Linked DNA regions of Mytilus edulis. The protein of the gene in region 1 interacts with the protein of each later gene in a pairwise test. Links are inferred from orthologs where the notes say so. Each region holds a gene or a part of one and is shown on either strand. Other genes may lie near its edges.

The links. The genes of interacting proteins can lie anywhere in the genome.
Region 2: the proteins of protein patched homolog 1-like (region 1) and E3 ubiquitin-protein ligase NEDD4-like interact in a two-hybrid assay, tested with the Drosophila melanogaster proteins (2 studies listed by BioGRID). The link is inferred for Mytilus edulis from reciprocal best matches to the Drosophila melanogaster genes ptc and Nedd4.

What each region holds. Positions count from the first base shown.
Region 1 is NC_092344.1:121,131,957-121,140,097, reverse strand, and holds the start of protein patched homolog 1-like, read left to right. Parts: upstream 1-4,956; 5' UTR 4,957-5,248; coding exon 5,249-5,350; intron 5,351-5,775; coding exon 5,776-5,968; intron 5,969-8,141. UniProt on the Drosophila melanogaster protein: Segmentation polarity protein. Acts as a receptor for the hedgehog protein (hh). Associates with the smoothened protein (SMO) to transduce the hedgehog signal leading to the activation of wingless, decapentaplegic and patched itself.
Region 2 is NC_092347.1:25,259,033-25,267,526, forward strand, and holds the start of E3 ubiquitin-protein ligase NEDD4-like, read left to right. Parts: upstream 1-4,908; 5' UTR 4,909-5,006; coding exon 5,007-5,048; intron 5,049-8,494. UniProt on the Drosophila melanogaster protein: Essential E3 ubiquitin-protein ligase which accepts ubiquitin from an E2 ubiquitin-conjugating enzyme in the form of a thioester and then directly transfers the ubiquitin to targeted substrates.

The DNA.
Region 1 (8,141 bases):
AAAGGTCGGAATCAAATCCTTACATATCCTTGGATAGATAATCCAAAATGGTCAATTAGTCGAAAAGGCGTCGGTTTAAATTTCGAAGGGACGTCTTCAACGTTGGCACTACACACCGATGATTAAATAATTTCTTTATAAGCAGTCGGCACAAGTATAGTATTATGTTCGGAGATGCAAGTTCTTGAATAACAAAGCTCGGAGTTATACAGGCGCTGATGAAATGTTGCTGTATTGGGGAAAAAAATCATTAGGAAGCTAAAATCCCCCCTTTTGTCCTGAAGATTTGTTCTCAACTGACCTCGTTGTAGATTTCTAAATGTAATTAAAGATATGAGGCAGACTGAGTTTATATGGTATTCTTTATTTCAATTTCGATGGTACCGCATTCAAGTGCTTCTGTTGTTCCGTTGTTTCCTCTCATAGTTGATGCATTTCCCTCGTTTAAAACCCGGATTTGCTTTCTATCGATCGATTTATGTATTGAACAGCGGTTTATTACTGTATTATGTTTCCTTTTATGTATCGATGCATCCAACATAGGTATCAAACTTTGAGTTTTTAATTAGAAGACATCATGCAAAAAGTGAAGTAAAGGAATAATCTTAGCTCCTTTTTTCTATTCTTTCTATGAAGCTCGTGTATAAAGTCTGCTTCATATCAATTACACAAGTGGGCAAAAAACGAACACAGTTGGTTATCATACTGTCTTAAACTTCTATTATCAATATTGAAGTTTGGTATGGCAAAAGTGTACAGGGTACAGAAGTCAAATGTACTCCTTGGAGTCCGGTACATAAATAAGGCCGTTAGTTTTCTCGTTTGAGTTGTTTTACATTGTCATTTCGGGGCCTCCTATAGCTGACTATGCGGTATGGACTTTGCTCATTGTTGAAGGCCATACGGTGACCTATAGTTGTTAATTTCTGTGTCATTTTGGTTTCTTGTAGAGAGTTGTCTCATTGGCAATCATACCACATCTTTTTTATATCCTATAGATCTTGGAATTAGTATCAGCTTCTGATTGACACCTTCCCAGGGAGATGGTAGTTTCATAGTAATTTTAAAATCTGTCTTTAATTGATAAGTAAATTGATGTTGATAGTTTTGAAAGAGGTTTTGTGAAACAATTGGCAGATCAACAAATGTGACGTTGTATGAAGGACATGCATTTAATTTTGGCGTCCAGTATAGTGAAGGAGGATCCAGTTCTAGTACTATACAGTTGCGTTACCAAATATAGGTTGAGTCTGACAGTGAACACTGTTGTGACAATACATATATTGTAATCAAACAAGTGTTTTTTGTTTCGTCTCCATAACTCTGTTCCTTGTCCTTGACTCAGTATAAGGAGAACTTTTCATTTCTGAAAAAGATTGGCTGTAAAATTATCGAAAGCTAGGATTCATTAATGTTTTGGCTTTTTTCCCTTGGTTCATTGACCAACGGAACTTTCTCTATATGTAGTAAGACCTTGGTCCCATATATGTTCAGTGTTTAGTAATAATCAGTTCATTGGACATTTTCACATGTCATCTTTTTCCATTTTTTTTTTATTATCAGCTTTTTAATTTTGAACTTTCCGTTTCTATATTGCATGCCTGCAATAGGATAATTATCTCCCTGTTGAAACGATATTCCAGAGCTTTCATTTCTTAATATGATTTGTTTGATGGAGGATTGCTGTTAACCGATGGTCCCAAGTCAAGTGGTGAAGTTGAAGTTGAAGTATCTCATTGACAATTTCTAGGAAGCCATGACCAGTCGATTGGTTGTTATTGAAAAAAATTTTGTCTCTCTCTTGGCATACTTACAGTTTCCTTTGTTTGACAACACCTTCCTCAATTTAAAGTTGTATCGATAAGAGACTTAGTATGGCGTTCATTATCACTGGACTAGTATATATTTGTTGATTAACAGCTGAAGGACGCCTCCGGTGCGGGAATTTCTCGCTACATTGAAGACCTGTTGGTGACCCTCTGCTGTTGTTTTTTATTTGATCGGGTTGATGTCTCTTTGACACATTCCCCATTTCCATTCTCAATTTTATTATTTCTTTTTGACTTGGCCAAAACTTTTCAAGCGAATGTGAATGGATCTGCACCTTGCTTAACAAAATTATGTCGTAGCCTTGGTCGAGTATTTTAGAGATGGAGACACGAGTTCAATAACAAAATTGAAATTTATTTATTTCGGAGAAAATGTGTTGCGTTACAATATTGGTATCAGTAGTTGCAGATTTAGTGAAAATTATCATGGTTAAATGTTAAGAAATGTATATATTCTATCAATATGTTGAACGTTGAATCGTTGTGACACTAAATGGTCCACCTTCCTACGACAAAAACACTCTTTCAATGCTTAATTTCACAACTAGTTAATAAATAAAAAGTGCATACTACTTTATTGCAGATAATTCGATATCACCAATAAGTTGTTATATCAATGGAAGTTAACCGGGTTCAATACGGCTTTGGTACATGTTTATCGTCGAAAATCGTACGTTTTTCAACTTGTGGTAATGGATTGCTGTCTTGTCTCATTTCTATTTATTTGTCTTTACTCTATGCAATTACAGCACGATCTACTTGGATAACCTACATAGACCATTACCATCGACGATTCCTTTTAAGTTGCCTTCTGGTTTGTTGAATGCATGACACTTTTCTTTACCGCAAACTGCTATGGTGTACAATTTTTTGCTAATGAAACCCTACAACATAATCATTTCAGAGACTGATCTATTTGTTGCTATACACTTTTTCTAGACTTTGAAACTTATTTTGTTTCTGTAAAGTTAACAAAATATGGTACCCGTTGTGTGTAATCAATTCTTTAACTGTTTTCATCCCAGCTCTCTGAAACTGCAACAAGAGATTCCTAACATACTGAATATGTGCACCTGCAATGTGCATTCATTTGAGCTTTTTATCCAACCTTCGGAAATTGGATACGACTTGAATCCATTATCTTTCAAAGTTTTAGAAAAACACTAAGGACAATGGTAACAATGTTTGATTAAATCAACTTCATGGAAAGTGGTCATCTTTCACTACAGAAAAATCTTTGTCGGTTTGGACGGTTCAAAACCGGCTTTAGGTATGGTGATTTTTCGTGGTCTGTGGAAAGTATGTATCCAATTTGTGAAATCAAATCCTACAGCAATCAACCTATATATTCTTAAATGTGCACCTGCTATTATATTACTCTAATATATTGTTTGAGTAATGTTGTATCTCGTTTTTACACATTGGGAACTTTGACTTTTTCTGTAAAAATTACAGAAGACGGTTCAAGTTTAGTGTAATAAACTCCTATATAAAGGCAACAGTAGTATACCGCTAGTGTCCAATTCAAATTTCTAAAACTTCACAGGGAGATTATTTATATTTTGCAGGGTTCATCTGATATTATAGAATTGTTTGAGTAAATTATCTCATTTGACCAGCTTTTTTCAGCAATATTAATAAAAGAGGGTATATTTTTTGTGTAATCACCCGCTGCTACAGTTTTCAGCCCAGTTCACTGAAACATCTCCGGACGTTCATATGTGTTGGAAGTTGTACACCTGCAATAATGGAATTGTTTGAGTATTATTTTACTCATCATCCAGACTTTTTTAGAAAAAATTATGAAAAAGGAATAAGTTTTGTGTGTTATCAACTATAGTTTTCAATCCAAATCCTTGCATCTTTACAGGAAGATGGCACATATGTTGAAGGTGTGCACCTGATTTTACGGAATCGTCCGAGTGATTTTTCTCATTATTCCAGTAATTTTTTCAGGAAAAAATAAGTCACAAAAATATAGCAACCTTGTCATTTTACTTTTGTTCTTTTTACATTTTATGTAATATTGTTTTCATATATTTAAAAGAACAACTTAAGAATCATTCCTGGCAAAATGGCAAACCGGCAAAAATTTTTTAATCTTTGATTCATTTTAAAACTTAAGAGAAATTGAATTTTCGGAAGCCTCGATACAATTTACTTATCTTTTTTTCTCATTAGACTGAGATTTTGGGTTGTTGTCTCTCTTACGTTCATGTTGCATCTCCCTAAATCATATAACATTTTACATGCTTAAAACTTGTACCTTGATTTCAGTAGTGTTGAATTATTATTTAGTTATCCACTCTCTTTTACAGAAGCAAAAATCAGTTAGAAAGTGTTGAACATTTCTACCTTGCTTCAGTTGATTTTGGTTATCTTTTTTGTTTTCACTTGTGCTTTACCTTAATTTTCTTACAATTCCCATGTCCATAAAGAGCAAATATTTTAATAGCAAATAAAATAATTCACGTATTTACATTTGGAGATTTTCGTACAAGACCACTTCAGTTTTATACGGTCTTTTATAATCAATCTCTACAAAAACTAAGGGTTTGTTGTTTTCACGAGGTATTTAAAGATACGTCAGCGTGACAGCCCGCCCAGGTTGTACGGCAATACGACGTGTAATTTATTAGCATCTGTCATTTTAATTACATTAGTTTTAATGTAATATAGAAGGTCTCTGAATTAATTCGTAATATTGAACTAGAAGATCAACTGTAACACATTAGACAATTACACAATAGTTGATATGATTTGTAAAATTAAAAATAAAAATTCTGCCTTTTCATAAGAAATCTATTTGCTTTATATATCCGGTGGGCTTGATAATCACGATAATTCAGTAAGCAAAGATTTAGTTCATTAAACTACAAGTTTCTCTTTGTGTGACAAACTCACTGGCTTGTGACATTTGTAGTCGGTCTTACACAGCAATTAAGTACGGGATTCCTTCAGAAAATATGCCGTTTATTTAACGCTGTGGTAGTTCTCGCATCTTGTGTGGTCCGCGCACTGTGGTGAACTGTTGCTTAGCAACTAATGTAAGCTGCTGTTACTTGAGCAATCCTATTTAAATCTGGCCAATCCGATAACAGACAAACACGATATCATCTTGTCAGTCATTACGAGGAGGCGGAGCTTAACGCAAAATCGGGAGTCTTGAAGTTCGCAAAGAATGATATCGGATGTATGGAGCTTACAGTGTTTTGTTTGGATTTTATCTTCTATGAGGACTTCAGAATTATGAAGAAATTTTCTGATATAAAGATGTACTTACATGCATTTCAAACTGTGTGATAATAACATCGATGTTAATTAATAGTGTATAAACCGAACAACATTCCACGTGGGTTCGAATAGCATTCAAATGACATAGTTTATTTTGTGAATTCCCCCTTCAAAAACGGGAAATCATGAGTATTCGAAGGAGGGGCACTAATTCACAAATTGATGAGGATTTGTTAACGAGGACTAGTTTTGTGGATGCCAGGATAGCGTATAAACAAGTCAAAAAGGTATGTGAAGCGAGGCATCTCCATGACCTCATTTCTATCACAACTCTCTGTGAGTTCTTTTTCTGTAATAACATAACATGTTGTGTAGTTCATTAGTGGAGAAAAATTACATTTGTTAGAAGAAATTCCATGTATATTAAAACATTGTGAATTGATGTGTGTTTTAGCCTTAGGGTAATGTCATCTATTACAACATCACATAATAATGAAGTTAGATTTATCCATACTTTTTAGCATATTTTTTTGATGGCAAATAAGTCTAAGTTCCAGAATTTTAACTGTTATCTCATATGCATGTATGGTCCATATTTGTATGACAGAAAAATGCTTATCTTCATCCACTTTCAATATGTTTTTGTTTTCCCAATAGTTATAATTTGACCATCAATAAAGTGTACGTCTACATTTTCTTTTTGTATTTGCAGGGTAAAGCAGATGGGAATAAATGTGCGTTGTGGGTACGATGGCATCTGCAAAATTATATGTTCAGTATTGGTTGTTTCATACAATTACATTGTGGGAAAGTTTTGTTTATGGGATTACTATTGTTGTCGTTGTGTTGCATCGGATTCAAACTGGTCAAATTTGAAACTGATGTTGAAGCTCTTTGGGTAGAAGGTAAGTAATCGTGTTAAATGTGTATTTTCATCTTTATACATTCGTTAGGTATAATGTGAGGCAGTATATTCATTCACAAACAGCGCTTGAATTGATAAAAGCAAGTAAGCCGCCATCTTGTTTTGTGACCTAGAAATTTGATCTTGACTGTGTGTGGTCTCGTCTGTTATATTAGGAACGCTGAAATCATCAGAGATTGTTGACGGTTATAGTCGAACAATCGCACACTCACTGGTCATAAGTTTGATTATTCCCGCTCATTAAAGTCATTAGATTGGTTGTGATAAAATCGATAAACAAAGGACGTGATTACATCTACCTTGCAAATTATCAATATTCTCTAAACTGACTTTGGAGCATTTGTGTAATATCAGATTGGCACTCCTTTTTCAACAAGATTTGGTAACAAAAAAGTCAAATATTAATTACAAAAATAACAATAGTGCATTATCAGTTCATCTTAATCAGATATTTTGGTAACGAGATTACCGTTTTCTTGGGAGGTCTTCTGCATACGGGTTCTTAAGGCAAACCTCTAACCAAAGCAATTTTTCATGGGAAAACTGTACATCTAATTTTTGTATGCTTTAAACTTTATATTCTTACAATTTTTTTTTCTTGATTGAGCAATTTTAAAGTAATATCTGGAAATATAAAGAAAAATCTGAATGATATATTTACGTCACCTTTAGGGTCATACGTACTTTACTTAATAAAGTCCGAGATAGTGGTATGCTGAGAAAACAACTGGCTGTTTTAGAAAAGTTTTAAACAAATGCAGTTGGAAAGAAACTTTAATGTCATTCAGTATATTAAATTCCTGGTGGTCTATCACACATGGTTAAGAACATTTTAAGAGAATCTAAAAGGTAGTTTTATTTTTGTGTGTTTTATTCAATAGGGAAGAAGGACTGTCATTACCTTTTCAGTCTAAAACTGGTTTTGTTGTAAAACATTTAACAGCATGCAAAGAAAGATTTTTTGCTGATAGTAATATTTTACAACTGTTTTATGTTGAACACATCTTTCTAGTTAATAATAAAATCATAAAGCCAAAAGCATATAATAATTATATAGTAGTATACTTTGTAAACAACATATCCAGTGCATTATTTAGTGTTATACACAAAGTCTGTTCTTGCAATCTTTTTGATTAAAGTTTTGATGGCTTGGGCATGTGTGAGATATAAATTCTGCTTCAGTTGGAATACAAATATTTTTGTGTTATCATCTACAAATGAATTTTACACCAGAAATCAGAAATAACTTCAGAATTTCTTACATAATGTATCATCTGCAATAAAATTTCTGAATTAAAGCATATATTTTATTACGTTGGCTCATAGAGGAGTAGGTAAGAATTGTATGGTTTGAATGTTACATTTTATCAAAGGTATATTAATTATTTTAATTTACTCCAGGTTTCATTTATTTAATTAACTTTTTTTATTTTGCTAATAATTTGGGCGGATTAATTTAGCATGAATCCTTATTAGGTTTATATTGAAGTGTTTTTGTACTTCATTGTAGCTTTTTGTTATATGTATATGTAAATTGTAAATCTCATATTGAAAAGACATGAAATATTTGCTTCTAGACATTAATCCACCAACGATCAATCAATTAAAATGGAGATCAACCAGAAATTGGGGACATCTTTGAGCCAAAAATTTTAAATGTATGAATAAAAGAGTTTCTGTTGTGGTTTTGCATTTCCAGATTTGTTTTTTCTATCTCCCCTGTCAAGATCAGATAAAAAAGTGAAAGAAGGTTTTAAGATCATCTGAAGTGATATAAATAGTGAATGTTGTTTGACCTGGATTCCACTGATAATTTGACAATTTTAATTTGTGTGCTAGTATTTCACATGATGGAGGTTTTTTATGGCTGAATGAATCAAATACTTTGTATTCTACCTAGGTCATTGATAGTGTGACCAACTTTTGATAATGAATACCAATTTTCTTTCCAAGGGATGAAATCTTAACTTTAAATGAAAGAGGAGATATTATTTGTGTCATGTTGAATAGGCTTATGGACTCATGGAGGGAAAAGATTTCCCGTAATTACACATAATAAAGGTGTCTTAAATACACAGTTTATTTTATATAAATTTTATTTTAGTAAAAAATGTCCCTGTTTACATAAAAATTGCTGTTTACAGAAGATTCAT
Region 2 (8,494 bases), on another chromosome or scaffold:
TTTGTAGGTGAGTCTAGGAACAATGCAGATGTTCTTTGGTGGGTCAACTGTTTGGCAATATCTAAGTTAAAAAAAATTGAAATCACATTTCTAGATGATTAGGCTATAGAAAAGTGTTTTTCTTTGCTTTTCATTTTCCAGATATTTTCTTATCTAAATTAATAATTCTTAATCAAGTTAAACTGTCCCAATCAGTAATCAGATTTAAAGTAATTTATTAATTAAAATGAATAAGCAGCAATACATAGTAGTTTAACTGAAAAATCCCAAGATATCTGAGCGAATACTTAAAGGGGAAGCTGTCAAATTCGTGTTCACCAATTTGATTTGAATTGTCATATTTGATTTAAAACACTGTAAAACATCTATTAAAAAAATCAAAAGTCTGAAATAAACAACTAACAACACATGGGCTCGATAATATGTTGCTTCGTTTCGTGTGTTTTTTTTTAATCTAGACGACAAACAAGAGATATGAACATAAATATAGATAGATCATAGTAAGCGAAATCGTGTTATTGGATTTTTCTAGGTCTATTTAATTTCCTCAGTATTATGGATTCAAAACATGTTAATCATCGTTTTTACCTGTCTAAAAATGTTTTTTTTTTATGATCGAATCAGTCAATCAAATGATTTCTATTTGTTTCACTTTTAGAGTTGACATTCTTTTCCTTTTTAAAAATAACTGTCCACGCCACACGATTCATGCGTTATAGTTAAAGCCGTTAATTTGATAGAAGTTCATATGAAAACGGATTCAATGAGGTCGAATTATTCACTTGCAAGTGAATAATTCATCATCAATGTTTCTTAGCTTCTTTTGACAAAATTGAACCGTATTTGCTGCGAAAAGCGAATTATTATTTCACTATTTTACTTTCATTGATGATTGAACAATATCACATCATTTTAGATTTTTATTTATCTCGTAGCTATAGGCCTATGCATCTTATCGCTGTTTGACTGTCATTATTGGTCATCACAAGGGTACATTAAAATGTTGACGTCATTATAATACAAATTATCTGACACCATAGTAGAAAAGTGATTGTTGCATGACGTCAATATTTCAAGCGGCACGGGATCTCGGGTCACTGCGGCCGGGAATAGCGATAAGGTGTATATTATCTTACATAGTCTTCTTACATAGTCTGTAACTGAGCGCTGGATCACTCCACTATGCTCAGATCTTCAGTTATTTGCTGACTTGTTTCGGTTCCGGTTCCTGTGTCAGCTTTTGCTCTATAGTTATATTTCATTTCACTATTTGTCCAATATTTATCTAGGCGGCTTTCAAATGTCTGAATAGTTGGTGCATTTACAACGCTGCTGGGTAAGCTGTTCCATATTGGTGCAATTTGTTGTGTGAAGAAGTTGGATCTTATGTTTTTGTTGCATCTTTGGATGGTCAGTTTTTTGTTGTGTCCTCTAGTAGCAGAAGTGGTGTTATATGTGAGTAGGTTAGGTAACGCTTCGTCATATATTCCCGATGTTAATTTGTAAGCTTCTATCATATCACCTCTCATTCGTCTGTATTTAAGTGTTGGTAACTTAAGCTTCTTCAACCGTTGTTCGTACTCTAGATCTTTCAATGTTGGTATCAATTTTGTTGCTCGCCTTTGAACATTTTCAAGTGCTGTTATATCTTTAACTTTGAATGGGCTCCATATAGCATTGGCATATTCGAGGTTTGGTCTTGCTAGTGCTTTATAAAGTAATAAGAACATTTCCTCATTGAGGCAGGTAAATGTCCTTCTAATTAGTCCCATAATACTATTGGCCTTATTTATTTTTTCATTCATATGTTGTTCGAAATTTAGTTTGTTATCAATGGTTACTCCTATGTCTTTTTCTTTGTCAACATGTTCTAGTGTGGTGTTACACAGGTTGTATTTATGGTTGTTATCATGTTGTTTCCCTGTTGTTAGGACTTTACATTTATCTGGGTGAAATCTTAGCAACCAAGTATTTGACCAAGATTCTAGATGAGATAAGTCTGTTTGAAGTGCATCACTATCATCTGTTGTTTGTATTTGTCGAAAGACTTTGGTATCGTCAGCAAACATGTAGCAATCTGAGTCAAGCATTTCTGGTAGATCATTAATGTAGATGACAAACAATATTGGACCCAGTATACTGCCTTGAGGGATGCCGCTTGTTACTTGTTTGAATTCTGAGTAGCTACCGTTGACACGTACTTGTTGTTTTCTACCACTAAGGAATGATGTTACCCATGATATTATCTCTTCTGATATTCCGTAACTCTTTAATTTTCCAATCAGTCGTTTGTGGAGGACAGTATCAAATGCCTTCATGAAATCAAGGTATATAGTATCTATGGAACCTCCATTATCCAGAATTTTAGTCCATTTTTCAAGAACATGGAGTAGCTGTAATGTAGTCGACCTTCCTGATAAAAATCCGAACTGGTAATCACTAAATAGTTTATTTAGCCTCATGTGTGACACCATATGGTCTCTAACAAATGTTTCTAGGAGTTTGCAAAGTATGCACGTTAAGCTTACTGGCCTGTAGTTTGATGCCTGTTTTCGGTTGCCCTTCTTGAATATGGCTGAAATACATCCTTCTTTCCAGTCTTGAGGTATAGTTTTTTCTTTCAGCGACGTATTGAAAATTATGGTTATTGGAGTTGATAGTGCATCACACACGTCATGTAATAATCTAGGATGAATATTATCGGGTCCTTGTGATTTATTTATGTTCAGGTTTTTCAGGCGTTTTTGAACATTCTCCTGTTTAACTACGAGATAATTCATGGCTTCCTTTACGGTTTGTCCTTGAAGTTTTGGTATGTCTCCATCGTCCTCCTTTGTAAAGACGCTGGCAAAGAAACTCGAAAGTGTTTCTGCCTTTTCTTTGTCGTTGGTTGTTAGTACATCATTACCATCTTGTGTATTCATGACGAGATCGGATATTCCAGTTCTAGTTTTAGTTTTTGATTTTACGTAATGCCAGAATTTTTTCGGGTTATTTTTTACTTGCTTGGCAATTTCTTTCTCTTTCATCTTGACTGCTTTTCTGGTAAGTTTCTTTACCTTGTTTCTGGTTTTACAGAATTCTCTATATTTTTCGCTACTTTTTGTTTCCATATACCTTGTCCAGCATCTGTGTTTTTTCCTTATTGCTTTCAATGTTTCTTGGTTGAGACCTACAGCTTTATTTTTTTTTGCTCGATTGTCCCATCTTCAAAAATACCAGTCACTTCAGGCGTGCCACAGGGTACAGTGCTAGGACCCATACTCTTCCTTATTTACATAAATGACCTTCCGGAATACTTCAAACACAGCAAAATCAGACTCTTCGCAGACGACAGCATAATTTACAGACAAATTAAATCTCAAAACGACTGCCTCATGCTTCAGGAAGATCTAGAAGCCGCCATACAATGGGAGCAAGACTGGCTCATGTCTTTCCACCCAGACAAATGCAACATAATGAACATAACAACAAAGAGAACTCCCATCCACTTCTATTACAACATGTATGGGCACATATTAGAATCAGTAAAACATGCTAAGTACTTAGGTATCACAATTTCTTCAGATTTAAAATGGAACACCCACATTCAACAAACAGCTGCCAAAGCAAACAAATCTTTATGTTTTATAAGAAGAAATCTCAAAGTCCAGTCACAAAAAATTAAAGAAAGAGCATACCAAACCATCATAAGACCTAAATTAGAATACTGCTGTACTGTATAGGACCCCTATACAAGTGAAAACATACGATCACTAGAAAAAGTACAGAGAAGAGCGGCAAGGTATGCATGTAACAGACATCACAACACCAGCAGTGTGTCTGATATGCTAGACACTATGAAATGGCAAACATTACAAGAACGCCGGCTAAGAACAAGGCTAATAATGTTTCACAAAATTACAAACGAAAATATTGCCATTCCTTCACAAAATTTATTACAGAAGAGTCAGTCCGTCACAAGATCCACCAACAAAGATGCTTACAGACAAATCCAATGTAACAAGGACAGCTACAAATTTTCTTTCTTTTGTCAAACAATTAAAGACTGGAACAAATTGTCCTCAGTCATAACAAAAAACACCACCACAGAAACCTTCAAGGATGCACTCACGCACGATGTGCTCCTTGATACATATCCACACCTGAAGTAATCAGGCAATCATGTTTTTATCTTAAATTAAAAAATAAAAAATAAAAAATGTAATATCCAAAAAATCTAAATAAAAACGAAAAATCTAAAAACAAAGAAAAAATTGTAAAAATTGATAATAAAAATATAACAAATATATACAAAAATATGGAATACATATATGTTAAACTATATTTATAAATACATAAATTTGAAAAATTATACCAGGCATGCGCCGGAAAGTAAACATCAGTATGTTGATGGTTTTCTGAAACTAAAGAAGAAGAAGATCTTTTTATGTGGTATGTATTTACTTTGGAGTTCCAAGAGTTTGTCTTTAAAAAATATCCATTGTTCATTTGTTGACTTCTCTTTCATTATGTTGTACCAGTCTATATACACCTTATCGCTATTCCCGGCTGACCCGTCCGCTTGAACTTTTGACGTCAACAACAATCACTTTTCCATTGTGGCGTCAGACATTTTGTTTTATGACGTCAAAATTTTACGGGAACCTGTGTGATTTCCAGCAATGGCGGACAAATAGCGATAAGGTGTATTGCTCAGAGTGCCCCTTTAACCAACAAATTCAATCGTAGATTATTTATTAAAACTATTTACAACGTATATATCTAGGGAAAATATATCAATGCATTATTTGATACCTATTAAACGTGTCGTCGGTCATAGCAAGTGTGCGTCACATGTGATTATGGTATTACGTCAGCGTAGTATTGCGAAGTACTTTATTGCAGGTATTTGGTCATTTTGAAATATCCGGGATGTGGTCGATTGCGATTGCGCATCTAATACAGTAAAAACATCAACACAACTTGTGCTGTAATTTTATCCAAGTTTGTTGATTTGATAGTGAATGGCACAATTTACCAGAACTTATGGGTTGCAGGAGCGATCAGTAAGTTTTTATCAGTTGAAGCCGAGAAGTTGAAAATGCTTGAATCGATGTCACCACATGATTTTCTCTAAAAAATATATAAACAGTGATACGATGATCGAAAACTGTAAAATGGGAGGGTGCTTAGCCAGGCGTCAAACGGTCATTTATTGCTACCGTTAGCGTCAAATTGAATAAAATTTAACGGGGATTCGTCAAAATTTCTTTTAGTTCGTGGTGTCTGCTGTAAGTTATGAAGAAGCAGGCTAAATTTCTAAAGAAGCCTTCAAGTAAATGTGGAAGGATCAGCAGTCCACGGGGACTAGCTAGCTATTTGCTCCATCAGCCAAGTTTTTGGGGAACTGTTGTCCGCAAGATCATTGTCCCCTCCAGCTTGCCGTTTGCTGAAAAAACTTTGTATGTCCATAAAGTTCAATGTTTACAGCTGACTATTAAAGTATCGACCACATTTTCTTAGGGAAGCAATCCTTTCACTTCCCCCACCTCAAGAGTCATCATACCATTTTGACTCTCACACAAGCATACCCTACACTGTAGCTAGAATTCCTCTCTAACAATCCATGCCCATGTTTTTTTTATTTAGGCGCCAATGTAACTGAAGAGCATGAATTTCGTTACAAAATTGCTTGTCTCCACTAGGGCCTCAACCCTTGGACTTCTGTCACAAGGCAGTTCAATGTTTACAGCTGACTATTAAAGTATCGACCACATTTTCTAAGGGAAGCAATCCTTTCACTTCCCCCACCTCAAGAGTCATCATACCATTTTGACTCTCACACAAGCATACCCTACACTGTAGCTAGAATTCCTCTCTAACAACCATGCCCATGTTTTTTTTATTATGGGGCCAATGTAACTGAAGAGCATGAATTTCGTTACAAAATTGCTTGTCTCCACTAGGGGTGCTATAAACAGTTTCGTATAAAAAACTAGGGGTTATTCCGCAACTAAAAATAACCATGGAGGGAAACCCCTGTTTATTTACTCAATTGGTGAAAAAGTATCATGTTTTTTGTATTTGATTGTAAAAATTAGTTAATTAGCTTTCAATTAAAACAGGTTGAATGATTGAAATAATTTAAAAAATTATATTAACTTTACATGTTTTGAGGGGAGACAACACTGTAAACATCCTATTTTTTTGGCAGTGAAAATTGAAAACTTATTTGCAGCCACTGTAGCTCTTTTCGGAGCGGGAAACCGTACCCTGAAACAAGATTTTTTTGAAAGGCCAGGTAAAAACCTACAAATTTCATACAGTTTTGATTAGGTAAAATGTGCATGGATCTGGCTTCATGGGTGTGCACATGACTGGTTTCAAGTTTTTTATGTTCAAATTAGACCTTTTTTTCCCCATGTTCATTGGATGGAATATTTTTAATATATTTAAAGTACACATTATTTTTATTTCATCATAAACTAGAGAACATTCTGATTCCAGTGATATCTAGTTTTGTACAAGTATCTTTATTAATCAGTCCACCACTAAGGGTCACTTATGCATGGTCCCTCAAAATGTGACGTCATAGAAAAAAACTGTTGATTGCACCCTAGGGCCTCAACCCTTGGACTTCTGTCACAAGGCAGGGCGTTTACCTACTGAGCTAAAGAAGTACCTTTTGAGCTAAAGAAGTACTTCCTTAGCTCAACCACTTATGGCTGACAAAGTATCTACCACATTTTCTAAGGGAAACACTGTCATAAAATTAACGTTAACATGGTTAATGTTATTTTTGGAGAAAAAAATTAACATGATTGGTCTTAGTCATTAGTTATTTTTATTTTCTTAAAGATAATGCACATTTTTTATTGTCATGCACCTAAAATTGCTGTTAACGTCATTTGGCAAGAATTTTTACCATTGTTGGTCCTGAAGGTACTCCCATGTTATCATATGTTATCACCCCACTTGACCAGAGAATCTGCACCTCTTCAGGCTCTTGAACTAATGATGTTAAACAACAATCAACTTTCCATTGTGGCATTAGATATTTTCTATTATAGTATAATTCATTATGATACTTATTCTGATTGGCTAACTGCACATCACATGTTATTTCGTAAGCAATTGCATTGCTCAATAAAACTTTTCATTCATGATAACACGTGGTCCCACAATAAAGTGCACAGGTAAATTAAATAAAACAATAATGAAATTTGTGTTTTCAGGATCATTGCTAAAAAAATGTAATCATAAGCATTGAATGCTTCTTTTTGTAACTTCATAGGATTGTAAAAGCGCTGACCGTGTGCACATTTTTAGTAGCGCTTCATACAAAATGTACTTCGGTCAACGCTTTTAAACCCCAATGAAGTTACAAAAAGAAGCATTCAATTCTTAAGGAAAAATTTACTGAAAACTTTGTGATGTAAATCATGTTCAGTAATGACAAACAAATAGGGCTAAAATGTATATGAAGCAGGTGCTACCTGATGTTATTGGGTTTGTTGCTATTGAAGGTTAAAATTTAGTACATTATTGTTTATTTTGTACCCACCGTAGAAGAGGGGGGCTTTACGTTTTACCCTTGTTAGTCTAATAGTCCAAAATTGGTTCTGTTCTGTTAAGTTTTTTCTCAACTGAATGTTATGAAACTGTAAGTTAATAACACAATGCTTATTACCACAATTTGTATCAAAACACAGATTAAGTTTCAATTTTGATGAGGTCATATTAACCGTTCCAGAGTTATGTCCCTTTACAAATGGAAAAAGTGCTAAATTTTTGGGGAAGACGGCTTCAAGCCGTGAATCCCCAATGGGGTTGACCAGAGTGACATTCCCTCACATCATTCATTTTGTTTTTATAGCGTGGAAAACCCCCCCAACAAATCTTACTGAGAATGATGAGATGGTGAGACACAAATGAATAAATTGACTTTAAACACTTTTTTACACATTTCCCTTCTGTTTTTCTCGAAATTATCGTATATTGAGCTCTCCTTTACACTATTTAGGTTTCTTTTACAATCCGGAAAAATCAGTATGACGAGATATTCTAAATATATCCAACCTACATTATATTTTATAGTGACGTCATTGTTGGAATGCCACACTACGCATAAGCAGGGATATCCTTCACTGGTTATTTAAATCATTCTCAAAGATTGTGCACTTATTAAAAAATAGTATTTGTTAAATTTAAACATAATGATGTTTGCTGTAGATGATTCAAACATCAACATGCAAAACTTTAATTTGTAGGTCAACAACTTTCAAAGTAAACAGGAAGTCTGAGGGGCTACATGAGATGGGGGAGAGAAACGATCTTTTCCATTTTTTTCTGTAAATCTCTGTTTTGAGAATCTTCCTCCAATTCAGGAGCACCTCAATTTATGAGCTAATTATCCACTAAAATAAATACTTAAAATGTGACATTTAGTATATGATAAGTAGTCTTCCATTAAAACTAAATTTTGTGTACCAACATAATCATTGTAATAGTT